Mytilus edulis: one gene and its partner. The protein of the gene in region 2 binds, or shares a complex with, the protein of the main gene of each other region. Links are inferred from orthologs where the notes say so. Each region holds a gene or a part of one and is shown on either strand. Other genes may lie near its edges.

What was found.
Region 1: the proteins of translation initiation factor eIF2B subunit epsilon-like (region 2) and translation initiation factor eIF2B subunit delta-like are in contact, whole or in part, in a cryo-EM structure (PDB 7D46), measured with the Homo sapiens proteins. The link is inferred for Mytilus edulis from reciprocal best matches to the Homo sapiens genes EIF2B5 and EIF2B4. Residues at the interface, in NP_003898.2 of Homo sapiens: Arg163, Lys294, Arg339, His340, Glu357; in NP_001029288.1 of Homo sapiens: Arg357, Tyr393, Pro396, Glu397, Lys466, Arg467, Glu469.

What each region holds. Positions count from the first base shown.
Region 1 is NC_092355.1:77,291,594-77,299,711, reverse strand, and holds the start of translation initiation factor eIF2B subunit delta-like, read right to left. Parts: upstream 3,216-8,118; 5' UTR 3,112-3,215; exon of another isoform or gene 3,081-3,111; intron 1-3,080. UniProt on the Homo sapiens protein: Acts as a component of the translation initiation factor 2B (eIF2B) complex, which catalyzes the exchange of GDP for GTP on eukaryotic initiation factor 2 (eIF2) gamma subunit.
Region 2 is NC_092351.1:90,196,862-90,204,693, forward strand, and holds the start of translation initiation factor eIF2B subunit epsilon-like, read right to left. Parts: upstream 3,018-7,832; 5' UTR 3,003-3,017; coding exon 2,883-3,002; intron 422-2,882; coding exon 297-421; intron 1-296. UniProt on the Homo sapiens protein: Acts as a component of the translation initiation factor 2B (eIF2B) complex, which catalyzes the exchange of GDP for GTP on eukaryotic initiation factor 2 (eIF2) gamma subunit.

The DNA of each region.
Region 1 (8,118 bases), on a different chromosome or scaffold from region 2:
AATTTACACAAAAATGCAAATGTAAAGAAACATGAATGAACTGCAAACATGTGCATTTTTAAATGTAATTTTTTTTTATGTTACTTGATGTAGGATTCAGATATACAATTAAACATTCATTTTCAATTGTTTGTTTGTTCAGTTTATCCATCTAATTGTAATAATAACTATTTGTAAAACTAAAAATAAAGATTGTGATAAATTGTTTAAACATAACTCATATGATCCAATCACATGTATGGTCAGCTTGTACTGGACCATATACCAGGGGTTAAGAAATTTTGTTATAGCTTACTAGCCCAGGGCTAATTGGTTGCAAGATTTTACTAGCCATGTTGGAAGAACTACTAGCCCAACAAAACTGACCTGCTAGCCCTAGTATGCCTTACAAATTCAAAGTTTGCTGCAATAACAATGAATTCTATAAACTTAACAGTTTTTATCCATTCACAGCATTGTACAGTAGATTTTTCAAAATTGGATATTCAAAACTTATATCAGCAAAAAATATTCCATTACCATATATATACATATACTCAATCAATCGATAAATGAATATTCACTGAAAATTCTGATAAAATGAGTTGACCAAATCCGGGGATGATACAAGTCTTGACCACTGCTATACGTGGGTATGTCAAAGGATTAGAGGGGGTTTTATCAGATACAATATCATCATCACGTTTGTGTAAAAGAATTATCAGCACATGTTTCAAATTTATATCTGATAAAAGTCAGGTTTCTGCTGTCAAAAGGGATTCACATTTATATTGCAATAAATTAATCAAAAGGAGGTAAAATTAGGTTGCATAAGCAATGTACAATACCACCCCCTGTACTGACACATGGATACGGAAAGTACAAGATCCACCATGTCCACCCCGAGTTATTTGTTCTATTTTAAAACTTGTACAAAATCAGTTCAAATTCTGGGAATCCCGGATGACGTAGTTGAATCTGATTGGATAAGATAGAAAAGTGATCAGGGAATTTTCCCCTTTCAATTTTAGAAACGCCAAGAATTTTTTGTTACGAGTCCGTCTGGCATTTTGGGTTGCAAGTCTTGGTTGCCCGAGGTCTAAATGTTGTAGTCCCGGGCGTCGGGCTAGTGGATTTATTAACCCCTGTATACTCATGAATATGGACGTATGAGTAGCCTTACCGGACGCAATTACGACTGGACACAATTACGAACGATTTTTAATGTTTGCCCCCTTATATAATATTCATGCATGATAATTAATAAATGTTTCTATTAATTAAAAACCCACTACATTACTTGTGTTTTCACGAAAAAAAAGTTCATGTGCACTTTGTTAATGTTGCAGACGACGAAAAATTAAGTTTCGTAAATGTCAAAATAATGACTCCTACTCTTGGAAATTACATGAATAAAGCACACAAGCTAGGGCAGATTGCCTTCTTTTGTCATTATATAGATAGAAAAATATCTCCTGAATCTGTTCATATGCGTGATACCCTTTATCTTGGCCAAATAATCCAAAAATGAACGTTTTCTCAGACTCGGTTGACCCTGAGCATTGTCAGACTGTCAGAAGAAAAAAGTATTTTTATTGAAAAGTCCCAAGAACTCCGAAAGTAAAGGTTAAATATAAATTAAAATCATAGGTTCACTAACTAAAAAGACAATTCAGTGCTTCTGAGGTGAAAGAACTTGCATAAAAACAAAAAATCTGAATTATTTCCTTTTCAAAGAAATTTTTTTGTCACTAATTTCGTCTTCAACTACTGCTGAAGAATTTGAAGTAAAATACCATATTACACTTCTTATTTTCTTAGGAAATGTGTTTAAGATAAGATTAATGTATGTTTCATAAATTTAGATTGTTGTCATTGATTTGTTCTGCCAGATATATAAATATAGTGCCGTTTGTAATTGCGTCCATATTGGGCTTGCTTGACCCATAAAACCAGGTCATGAAAATCTTACCAAAGTATCCAAACGTAAATAGAAAATTATGTGTGTTATGATTCAAAATGAAAAGCATTCATACATCTTTAATTCTATGGTACAAACAATTCAAGAAAAGTATTCTACAAAGAAAAAAAATAATTAAAGTTCAAAAATCGTTCGTAATTGTGTCCAGTGAGGCTATAGGTATACGGTCAAGAACGTAAGCGTAGTCCAAATACTCATATGGTCTGGAACATATACATGTATATATAAATCTACTGTTAATGAAATATCTGAAGTATTCTAAAAGTGTACAGTCTTCATTCATATGGGGACGAAGTCCCCAATTACAGTAGAAAATTCAATAAAAAAAAAAAATTCGGGAAAATTTCCCGAATTTTCCATTGTACTAATGAACTCAAAATCGTTCAATTTTTTTTATGTCATGTTTTGAAATCCCGGACCTGCGCAGAAATGTACAATATACTTCCTTTTTCCGGTCTCGTTTGTATGAAACTTTGAGTAAAATATATATTTATCAGTCTAGTAAAAATAGGAAGAAACGCGCAATACCAATTTCATTTTTAATAATTCCTTGATATGAAAAAACGTTACCTAATGATAGCGTTTCTTTGTTTACATTGCATATGACGTCATAATTTAAATAACGTCACAACTAAAATCCCTAACAACAGAACCAAAATCGGAAACGTTACGGTATTTCCATTTCTTTTTTTTTTGACAAATAATTAAGTTACAAAAAAATAATTCATACAGACTTCGTCCCCATTTACAGGTAATGCCTGCCTCATATTACATGTCATATTACATCATGCAACATGCATAGTCATAGATCTTTTGATTTTGAATAAGCCAAATGAATTGATTTGATTTATCACTTTTTTTATTTGATTTGTCCAACAACCGCTTCACTGAAATCTATGGGCTTCCGCGCTTCATACAAAATGTACTTCAGTCAACGCTTTAACACCCCAATAAAGTTACAAAAAGAAGCATTCAATTCTTAAATACAGAACTGGTAAAATTTTTGCTGTAATTTGCAATATGTCTCGTCTGACAGTTGGAATCTGTCACTCCACTCCTTCATTCTCCGTAAAATGTCGTTCTTTATATAGACCAAGAAAAAAAATAACGATTTAGTTACCTGTCTTCTATAATTTAGATTAAATATATACAAAGTCAAATTCTGCCTGATGAAATAAACGAGTAAACACTGAACAGTTTTTAAACGTTGAATACCGAAAAATAGTTAATATTCATACATGCAACGTACGTTTATAATTATAAGAAATGTAAATCAATGAACTTGTTAGATCTAAGAACTGCCGTTATGTTTTGTATAACAGGGAAGTCATAGTGGGGAATTTTATTAATCATCTTTTACAATTTACTGCTTGAGTGCTTGTATCATTCTATAAGTTATAAATATGTTATTTTATTTACTCCTCAGGCACGTTCTCGCTTGGACGTAACAAGTGAATTATTAAAACTCGCCCCAGTTGTGGATCGTCCCAAATTTCTTGTACTGCCATATCGACCCAATTCATCTCAATCTCACATGAAAAATGAAATCCAAGCAACTGCCAAATAGCCCACTAGTTAAATTAGGGAATTTTAATTAAGGATATGAAACGCCGCACGATACTATTATATGTCTCTGGTCTAATCCTTTATATAGCATATACACAAAATTTTGATCATCCCAACACCAAAATGTAGATTATATCATCCTTCGTTCAGAGTTTGGTGGTCAAACCACGTTGCCGGAAAGTCGGACATTCATATTGTTAATTGACATTTATATTCTGTATTTTGCGCTTTTTTGTTCCGATATTTAAATTATATAATTATAGGGAAGCCCTATCATTATATTTTGTATTTAGATACTTCGTTTTGCGTTCGCCTAGAACAATACTGTTTGTGTACAAAAAAATAGGGAAGCCCTATTTTTCATTTACACCGCTTGTGCTATAGTCTATTAAATTAATATACAGTCGTAGTAACAATCATTATATATATGTCTGTGAGGAAGATAATTAAAGAGAGAAAAAAGATATACCAAAGGGTTAGGGGAGCACACCTGGGAAGAGACACTATCTTGTTCACGGACAGCAAAGGGGTGGGTCTAAAAGAATATATCCCAGAATCAATTGGGCAGAAATTTAAAGTGTTGTATAAGAGAGGAGGATCGATCGACAACAAAAAACACATTAAATCACTCATAGACACGGTGAAAGACTTGGATCATCAAATAATACTGATCTGGCTAGGTACATGTGAAATTACACAGAAGAAAAACAAAACCATCCAGTTTAGAAAATCACCGTATCAAAATATAGAAGAAACTTTAACACAATATAGGGATCTCAAACAACAAATCATAACAACAAACCATCTGCCACAGTGCTTTTTATAGAGTGTCCATACTATTCGATCACAAGGGTCAATAAACCTAAAGATTCAATTAACTTAATTGTGAATAGTAAAAAAAGACATATCCGTCACTCCTGGTAAATAAAGCCACCAAAGGTCACAGAAAAGTCCAATTGGCAACAAACATAGACAAAGAACTAAGTGAACAGATTGACTACTTTAACGATCACCTAAAATTGATCAACCGCCTTTATTCTACACCAAGAATTTCTCAGGATTTTATCCTTTCAAACAAGACAAAAAGAGACACGAAAGTTAAATATAGAAAGAATTTCAACCTAACATCGGACGGAGTACATCCCATAAGAGCTGTAAATAAATTGTGGATGCTGAAATTCATAGATTTAGCACTTGAACTGTCAGAGCAAGGATGTTAAATAAATAGCCAGCAAAATAGACAATAAAAACAAAAAAAATAGTTAAATAAGGAAGCCTTGTTTAACATACTAGATCCGAAATAATTAATCTGCGAAATATAATTAAGGAAGCCTTAATTATAAAGAAAAGAGGAAAATCAACAACATCACTCAACCAATAAAAAGAATAGGGAAGCCCTATTATATCATAGAATAAAAAGTTAATTAAAAAGTGAATAAAAATATTAGAAAAATAGGGAAGCCCTGTTTTTCTAGGAATTAACAACATAAAAGACCATACAGAGATAGCTAGCAAAACTAAGTATAGAACAAGTAAGAATAATTTACAGGGGGCCTAGAAATAGATGGAGAAGCTCTATCTAGCATTAACATACTTCATACTTATTTAGTTCGAATAGGGAAGCCCTATTCGTCCTGATAAATAGAAAGGAGATTACAACTTAACGATCAATTCTATTAGGGAAGCCCTAATATTGGACATAGGAAAGAGCGGAATAAAGGGACAACAAGCTTAGAAAAAAAATTATAGAGAGAGAAGCTCTATCTAATATCAGGAAAATAAATAATATTATCTAGAGAAATTTTATTTAAGGGAAGCCCTAAATTTTAAAATACTAGATAAAAATATTAATAACTCATTTCTTACTTTAACAATAGAGAAGCTCTATTATATGAAATAAAAAAAAAAAAATAATTTATTTTCATTTAGGGAAGCCCTATATAAAAATAAATAAATTAACTATAGTAGTAGATATGGCAACAAGAAGGAATAAATCTACTTCAAATGTAACAAGCGATCAAAAAAAGGAAGACCCATGGGAATGCAAAATATGCCAAAAGATATATAAAAATGAAGACGCTAAACTCCTTGAATGTCAAAGATGTAAAGAGCATTTTTGCATAAAATGCTTAAATAAATCAAAAACTGAATAGGAAATATTAAGCAACTCAGACACAATGTGGTTCTGCGCCCCATTTAGACAAGTAGTTGAAGAACACATAGTTACTGATCTGAAAATCGAAGAGAGATGCCGAGAGATCATGGACAACTATGAGCAAAGAATAAATGATATAGAAATCACAATAGAAAAGAAATGTGATAAAGAAGAAGTAAGAGATATAGTTAGCCAGGAGATTATAAAACACAAATGTGACGAGGAAAGAATAAGAGAAATAGCTAAAGAAGAAGCATTAAATGGAGGGGCAGTAGCTAATGTTGTATCCGAGGATATTGAAGGTGGAGTGCTACCAAATCAAGGAACAGTAACCACAGTACTAGAGGAAATAAATGAGAGAAAAACAAGGGAAAATAATCTGATCATATTTGGGATAACAGAAAATGAGTCGGAAAATAAACAAGAGAGAATAGAACATGATGTAGAGAATATAGTCCAACTCTTTAAAGATGCCAAGATAACATTGGATATTGAAAACATCAGAAAAACACAAAGACTAGGGAAATATGATAAAGAAAAAACAAATAGACCTCTATTAGTCCATTTGAAGAGCATAGACTCAAAACTAACCCTATTTAGAAACATGCATTATATTAGATCATATCCCAAATACCAAAAAGTAAATGTAAGCAATGACCTAACTAAAAGTGAGAGAGAAGAAGAAAAGAGACTGTGGGCTGAGGCAAAAAAACTTCAAGAAAACAACTCGGGGGACTTCCTGTTCAAAGTGCGGGGACCGCCATGGGCGAGGAAAGTAGTAAAAATAAAAAGGTGAAAAGAGAGACAAAAAATGTAAATATAAATGTACAAAAGAAGGGAAAGGTTTTTAACGGCAATGTAAATAACTTTACAGTTCTACCAAAATTGAACTGTTTTTATACTAATGCGGATCAGCTATTCAACAAAATGTCAGAATTGATCGTTCGTACAAGAGACAACAAACCAAATATCATTGGTATAACAGAAGTAAAACCGAAAGCTAATAGATATAAACCATCAACAGCGGAATATTCAATACCAGAGGTAGGAAATTACAAAATGTTTGAGAAAAACATAAAGTCAGATGAAGGAAGAGGCCTTTTAATGTATGTAGACTAATGTCAGAGGCAACAGATATGGGGTACTCACACATACTCATTATGGGAGATTTTAATTATCCTGAAATAAACTGGGAAACATGGAACACAAAGGGGGATAGACCAAACAGCACTGAAAATAATTTTCTGGAAGCACTACAAGATAATTTTCTGTACCAACATACAACAAAACCAACACGATGGAGAGGAGCTGACACACCCCATACACTTGATTTACTAATCACAAATGAAGAAGAGATGATTTCAAACCTAGAATATATGAGCCCGCTTGGAAAAAGTGACCACTGCGTCCTATCCTTTGATTTTAACTGTTATGTAAATATAAAAAGAGCACCGAAAATAGCTAATCTGTACAATCATGGAAATTACAAAGAATTTATTCAAGAGCTGAATAAAATAGATTGGCAAAATAAGCTAAATGCGGAAAATTCCATTGATAAAAATAGGAATTATTTTTTAACCATTTTAAAAGAATTAGAGAGCAGATTTGTACCAACAAAAACTATGACACAAATAGGAAAAAAGAGAAATGTATTCCCAATAGATAAAAAGACGAGAGAGTTAATTAGAAGGAAAAATATTCTATCCAAAAAAATTATAACTAAACAAGATCCAGATACAATAAAGTCAGAAACCAGGCCAAAACATCAGTCAATAAACAAAAGAAATTATTCGATAAAGGATTATCTGAAAATGCCAAAAGAAACCCAAAGGCTATATGGAGCTATATAAAATCCAAATCAAAGACCAGGGAAGGTATAGGGGACCTACATGTAGATACAGAAGATGTAAAATCCGAAAAAACAGATGACAATAAACAAAAGGCTGAGATACTATCAGAATATTTTACAAGCGTATTCAAAAATGAACCACAAGGCAATATTCCAGAGCCTAAGCATATTCCATTAGATAAAAAAAATAGAGGAACTAAATATTGACACTGATTTGGTTTTGAAACACCTACAGAAAATAAAAACGGATAAATCACCCGGCCCTGATAATTTACACCCAAGACTGCTGTTTGAAGTCAAAGAAGGTATAGCTGAACCACTTGGCATCATTTTTAGCCAATCTTTAACACAAAAAGTAGTTCCAAAGGATTGGAAAAGCGCCCTAGTGAGTGCAATATTCAAAAAAGGGAATAAATCACAAGCTAAAAATTATAGACCAGTAAGTCTCACATCAGTCGTCTGTAAAATAATGGAGAAAATAATAAGAGAACATATAATTAATTACATGAAAGAAAATAAACTATTTTCAAACAAACAATACGGATTTATCTCTGGGAGATCGACATCACTACAACTATTAGAGGTAAT
Region 2 (7,832 bases):
TGACGGGAAGCTAAGAAAAACCGAACTTGAAATGCGTAATTGACCCAGACTTTAAATCATTTCCGGAAAGGACCGAAAGTTCCGGATCGCGTCAATAGAGGTATTAAAAAAAAAATCTTCAAATTTAAAGCAATAAAATTTTCACGGTCGGGAGGATTTTCAAGGGTCGGTTGGTAAACTGCAAACAAACAATATTTTAATTTAAGCCTGAACGTACAAGAAGTCTGCATGTTGAGCTATATGTGTTCTCACTGTTCTGACTGAAAATACCTGATATGTGTTCTAACTGAATATACCTGATATGTGTTCTGATCTGATCAGCTAGATGACAACAGAAGACAAAGATTTCTTGGATTCCTCCGGCTGCCAGAAATTCCAAGGTATAATCCAACATAGGGACATTAACCACAGGAAGTAATGTCTGCAACAATCAAAATAAAATACATAAAATTCCTTAAAGATTATTGTTGATCTTCTAAATGTCTAACATGGATTTGAAATTAGCAGGGGCCCACTCGGCAATGGCCCCTAAAATTTGGTGTGGGCTACTATAATGTTTGCTTTTCTTGTATAGAACTATATATTTTGGGTACACAATTTGAGATGTGGGCTACTATGCCAAAAAGCAATCCAGTTCAGATGACCAACATGACCAATGATAATCTATTTATCGTTATTTTACCTATGACAATGTTTTAAATTTCATGTCAATTTCATTGACAATATGCCACGTTCCACCTTAGTTTCTAGAAATAAATTTTCAATTAATATTGCTTACAAATTTTACTGTTAAGTTTTTATTCACGTGTGCACTCAAATTTTAAAAGCATGTTCTGTCAAATGTGTTTAGGTATCTAGATTTTTTAGTCAAGGTTTACTATGATTTTTTACTGTTTTTAATTTTTTTGTGATATATGTCATATGTTTTTGTGATATATGTCATATGTTCATGATGTTTTTGTGATATATGTCATAATGTTTTGTGATATATGTCATATGTTTTGTGATATATATGTCATATGTTTTTGTATGAAGTAAAACCTGGATCAGTATACTGGTATACCGACAGGACATGACTATTAAATCCTAAAATAAGTATTTTCTATAGTTGTGGTTCTGGTAATTGCTAGAATTATAATTACATGTTATTTGATACAAGTTTTACAGTACTTAAACTAACCAGTAAAAAAGTTTTTGGTTGATGTTTCATATAGATGATGAAATTGTAACATTGTGATTTTTTTTTCATTTTTCAGATTGGCACTGGGTGTCTACAAAAGACATTATTTTTGGTTAAATAAAAATGGCTTATCCTACAGGTCAGTTTTCTTAAATTTGTTTTAACGTCTTATAAAGCGACTTTTAATACATATCAAATTTGTGAAGTTGTAATGTTGTTGTATCAAATATAGAAACCAAAAAACACATTACCAGCGTGTTCAATCGACACCGATGAAAAATGGATGATATGAACGGTACCTCGAATGATGGAATAACACTGTCAATATCTGAATAACACTTGAAATGACCGAATAAAACTTGAAAATTTAATATTTGCACATATTGGTGACTTTAAAACATTATTAACTAATAGTATATAATTGATGTACAAATGTATTCCATGTATACTACATGTTCTACGACTTATGAATGATTTAATTACAGAAAGTAGATTAACGTTCATTAAAAACTTTTTAAATTTAGTGTGTACATCCAATACGGGACCACGGAAATCACAATGGCTGTCATGTTCGATGTACACATTCAATTTAAAATGATCTTTATGAACTTATATCTGCTTATCTAAATCATTTTTAAGTTGTAAGTTACATCGATAATATACTATTATGAAACAATCAACATGATCAATGTTTAAAGTCACCAATATGAACTGATATTACAATTTCAAGTGTTATTCAGTCATTACAAGTGTTATTCCGATAATAACAGAGTCATTCTGTCATTCATGTTACCCTGATATGAAAACATGACACATGACGATATCAAATTGACATATTATCATGATTATGCCATGGCTGTGAGTAGTCTAAATAATTATGATGTCTGGCAAGGCTATTTTATTTTTTTCTGGGACGCCTTCCTACAATCTGACAATAGCCTTGCCAGACGTCATAATTATAACGGACAGAAAGTCACAGGACAAAAAGTCACAGGACATAAAGTCAGAAATTTGATAGGACAAAAAGTCACAAATAATTTGTTGACAAATGTTTGAATATAGAAGAGAATATCTTGAAATGTTCACTTTTTATACATATATTCATATTAAAGTTTAGGAAATTTATCATTTTACTTGAAAAATGAAGATTTATTTAATTCTAATCATGCAAAGGATATATTTCTTGGCACCATGAAGCATTTAAGTGCTTATCTACTTTGACATTTTGTTTTCTTAACAATTATTTGATCATTTTTGATATTTTTTTTGATAAATTTTGCTTACAAAGTTTGTTAATATACAATACTTCAAGAATAATACAAAAATGTTTTTGTAAAAATAAGCATTTTTTATTCAAAGAAAATAATCAGAAAAAATGAATTGTGACTTTTTGTCCTGTGACTTTTAAGTTTTTGTCCTGTGACTTTCTGTCCTACAATGTACATTCATAATTATTTGGACTAGGCTGTGTGCTGTCATAAAACTAGTCATAGAGATCTTTCCATGGACATTTCTTAAAATAAGGGAACTATACATTGTATACTTTTTACATGAAGCAAATTAATATTTACAATTTTTTACAATCTATGAACATGACGAATACAAGGATAAAACTATAAAAGATGATGAGCAAATTAAAGAAAAAAGTTGCATCATGCTGTGAACAAGTGAATGGCAGTTGCAGTACAAATTTGAATTTTACTCTGGGTTTCTTTTCTGTAATTGGTGCAAAGCGAACATTGAAAGTATCTGCAATGACAACAGCTTGTAGAATATCTTCTTGTTTTATGTCGGCTCCACGTTGTTTGCCTTTTCCAGACATTTTGCAATGTTTTGATTTTTATTGAACTTCCGGTACTTCCGGTTTGTGGAATCGCCAACTCGACAACGAACGACTTTCCTACCTGTTTAGACCCTCTTAGAAGTCGCTTTGGGTAAGAAAAATTACACGACATTATAAGTTTGTCGAGAATCATTTTATATTCGTCTGTAATCCAAACTCACTGTTCTCCGCACCTATTGCAATCTAAACTACACTACGCCTATGGACGCGAATGAAGTCGAAATCTCATGAGATAGGGCTCTGTTTACAAAAGAATCATACAGCTCGATTACGTGATTACTTAGTTCATATAGTAGATAGTTAATCATAAGTGGTGAGCTCATGACAAACTTCTTGGCTCAGTCTGACAGTCTTCACGCTGAACTGCTAAATCTACAGGCCTGCAGCTCAATTTTTGAAAATATTTAGTTAGATTCTGTTGGCCTGTAGGTCTGATTTTTACAGGCCCGAGAGCAATTTTACCAGCCTGGGCTGCCACTCGTCGTGAAGACTGCTCAGTCTGTTGAAGGGCTACCTTTTATAAATAGGGTAGGAATTCCTTTTCAGTTGGGCGATCGATCATGTTCATGATGTTGCCTTTTGTTGGGCAAATTCTAGTTTCTTCAGCACCTGGTCAAATACACCTAATCGCTTATTCCCGGCTGACCAGAGAATCTGTCCCGCTTGAACTATTGATGTCATACAACAATCCGATTTTCATTTGTAGTATTTCATATATAACCCAACTTAAAATAAATTTCCTATTTCAATGTATTTGTATTATGACGGTATTGTGTACGTTCACCCTAATGACATGTTTGCCTTATGTCCATTCGCCCTGAGTTCATTTGCCCATAGAGTCCGTTCGCCCTACTTAAAAATATTAATATTCAGGGCATTCAGTGATTAAAGTTGAATAAACTTATTCAGATATTTCTATGGTATATATATTCTTATATTTAACAGTTTATGGCTTGTTTATGATCATTAGGATCATTAATTGTTCAATGACAAAATAATTCCGATCACTGATTTTTGTGAAACTTGTCGTTTGAAGGATTATAATAATCATGATAATAAACAATGTCAATGATAAAAACAAACAGCTTGAAATAAATAAAAACATTCATTGGTGTACGAACTGTAAATCATGAAACAGATTTTCAAGTTCATTTATTATAATACTCTCAGTGGGACTAGTCTCAGTTGAAATGCATACATTTGTGATTTACAGCTGAATACAATTATTTTGTTAACAAATATCAATAAAGATAAATTTATACATTGTATTCCAAGTATTCTACTCTGCAAATCAAAGGGAGAATGATACATTGATTGCAGCAATTTAAATATTCTGTCAATTTTCAACAAACTTTAACATATTTTGTTAAAATACTTAAAATTATGCGACTAGACCATGTATCTAACAATTAGAAAAAAATAAAAATCTAACAGGTATCGGGGCGAACAGGTACTAGGGCGAATGGACCCAGATTCTATTATGACGTCAAAATTTTTACGGAAACGTGTGATGTCCAGTAATGTCGACAAATAGAGATAAGGTGTATTGGAGACTACTAGTCAAATCAGATCCTGGTTCATTTATCACCCATCATGCCCATGGTAAATGTATTCATTTTTAAACTACATGTATAACCTTATTGCTATTTTTCCACAATAACTGGTGAGGGCAACATGGGCAAAGATAATCTGATTCCTGGAAAATTTCGACATCACAATTCAACGTATAGCTGTAGCTGGAATAAGCGATATGTATGATTCAAACATTCATTTAAAGCAAACATAATGTTGTTAAGAACTTTTGTAGTTTTAAAGCTTATATTGTAATATCTTGAGTTTGTAATGTAGTATGATTAACACCCCCATTGTATAAAATATGTGTCTTTATATTTGTTTTATTGTTTATTTTTTGTATTTGTGTTTTGTAAATGTCTGCTGGTATCATTCCTGTATTGGAATTGACACCAATAGAATTATTTGATTTGATTTGATTGAAAAGGCACTCTTTGACATATTCCCAATTTCCATTCTCAAATTGATATATACATCATTTACATGATATATACATGTACTAGAAAGTCAAACATTGTTAACTTATAATGACGCTGTAATTACATGTCACAATGTCATAATACTGGAAATTATATTACCAAGGAAGTTATCATTCCCATGCATTTACCTCTTACATGTATTAAAAGGAACATCTACATCTACCATGTCTACAACCCTTCCTATTTTTTTAAGGTGTATTTTACAAGCAAAGTTTATGTTGTATAAATAAAGCTTTCAATTAAAGACTATCAACATGATATCAATGAATAGTAAAGAAGGAGAGACATTTCAGCGTGTGCACTCTTGTTGAGTATAAGCACAAGTCTGTGGATTCTCTTGAAATTGAACCACAAGGATCTATATAAAAACTGGAAAGTTGAGAATGATTTTGGGGGTTATTGCTCTGTCAGTTTCGGAGAAAGGAGCCAAAACATTTTTTTTTTTTTCATGTTTGAATAGATAGCGTATTCTTGAATTCTTGGGATTTCTTAAATATGCTGAATCCAACCTTGTATGTCATGTATGTAATGAATGTGAAATATGGATTTTGGGCTTCATTTTTAAATTGGTCCTCATTTATAGGTCAAAATGATAAAAATGAAATTTGTTTAATTTCTACAAAATTTAAATCTTGGGGTTCTTTTATTTGATACTCTGAATATACATATATGACTGTGAAGTTTAGATTTTAAAATTCAGAATAGCAGATCATAATCATGATAATAGATAATTATAAAGACCAATTACACATTTTTAGCTCACTTGGCTCGAAGGGCTAAGTGAGCTTTTCTCATCACTTGGCGTCCATCGTCCGTTGTGGTAGTTTTAACATTTTGAACTTCTTCTAGAGAACCACTAAATGGAACAAAACCAAACATGGCATGAATGTTCCTTATGGAGTGCTGACCAAGTGTTGTTACTTTGTACCCGATCCATTATCCAAGATTGTTGCCAGGGAGGACTTAGTTTAACATGGGACCCTATGGGTAATACATACAAATGTCTTCTTTTAGAGAACCACTGAATGGATTGAAAGCAAACATAGCATGAATGCTCCTTATGAGATGCTGACCAAGTGTTGTTACTTTGTAGCTGATCCATCATCCAAGATGGCCACCAGGGGGACTTAGTTTAACATGGGACCCTATAGGAAATACTTACAAATGTCTTCTTTTAGAGAACCATGGAATAGAATGAAACCAAACATAGCATGAATGTTCCTTATGAGGTGCTGACCAAGTGTTATTACTTTGTAAGCGATCCATCATCAAAGATGGCCGCCAGCGGGGGGACTCTGTTAAACACAGTACCCCTACTACCCCATGGGAAATACATACAAATGTCTTCTTTTAGAAAAGCACTAAATGGAATGAAATCAAACATGGCATGAATGTTCCTTATGAGGTGCTGACCAAGTGTTGTTACATAGTACCCGATCCATTATCCAAGATGGCAGCCAGATAATGGTACCCTATAGGAAATACATACAAATGTCTTCTTTAAGAGAACTACTGAATGAAATGAAACCAAACATAAGAATATTAAACCAAATTCGGCCTATAACATCATTATAAATATCTGTTACAATTGTCATGATTGTGATAGCAATCAGTCAAAGCAAATTGTTAGGCAATTCTTATCTTTATATCTGTTGTATGTATTATGTATTGCTTATTTCTGCTGCATATATGTATAGTAGTGTATAACATCTACTTCTTCTTCTGTATACCATATGCATAGTATTAGTGTATAAAGTCTACATCTTCTTCTGTGTACCATAGTCTATCTACAGAATTTTTTCAGAAAAAAGAATTTTTAGACAAAGGCAGGCTGAGTGTAAAAACAATAGTTTTTATACGACCGCAAAATTTGAAAATTTTTTCGTCGTATATTGCTATCACGTTGGCGTCGGCGTCGTCGTCGTCGTTGTCCGGCGTCCGAATACTTTTAGTTTTCGCACTCTAACTTTAGTAAAAGTGAATGGAAATCTATGAAATTTTAAAAAAAGGTTTATGACCACAAAAGGAAGGTTGGTATTGATTTTGGGAGTTTTGGTCCCAACATTTTAGGAATTAGGGGCCAAAAAGGGCCCAAATAAGCATTTTCTTGGTTTTCGCACTATAACTTTAGTTTAAGTTAATAGAAATCTATGAAATTTTGACACAAGGTTTATGACCACAAAAGAACGATTGGGATTGATTTTGGGAGTTTAGGTTTCAACAGTTTAGAAATTAGGGGCCAAAAAAGGGCCCAAATAAGCATTATTCTTGGTTTTCGCACAATAACTTTAGTTTAAGTAAATAGAAATCAATGAAATTTAAACACAATGTTAATGACTACAAAAGGAAGGTTGGTATTGATTTTGGGAGTTTAGGTCCCAACAGTTTAGGAATTAGGGGCCAAAAAGGGACCCAAATAAGCATTTTTCTTGGTTTACCAACCATAACGTTAGTATAAGTAAATAGAAATCTATGAAATTTAAACACAAGGTTTATGACCATAAAAGGAAGGTTGGTATTGATTTTGGGAGTTTTGGTCCCAACAGAATAAGGGGCCCAAAGGGTCCAAAATTAAACTTTGTTTGATTTCATCAAAATTGAATAATTGGGGTTCTTTGATATGCCGAATCTAACTGTCATGACTGTGTATGTAGATTCTTAACTTTTGGTCCCGTTTTCAAATTGGTCTACATTAAGGTCCAAAGGGTCCAAAATTAAACTTAGTTTGATTTTGACAAAAAATGAATCAGTTAGGTTC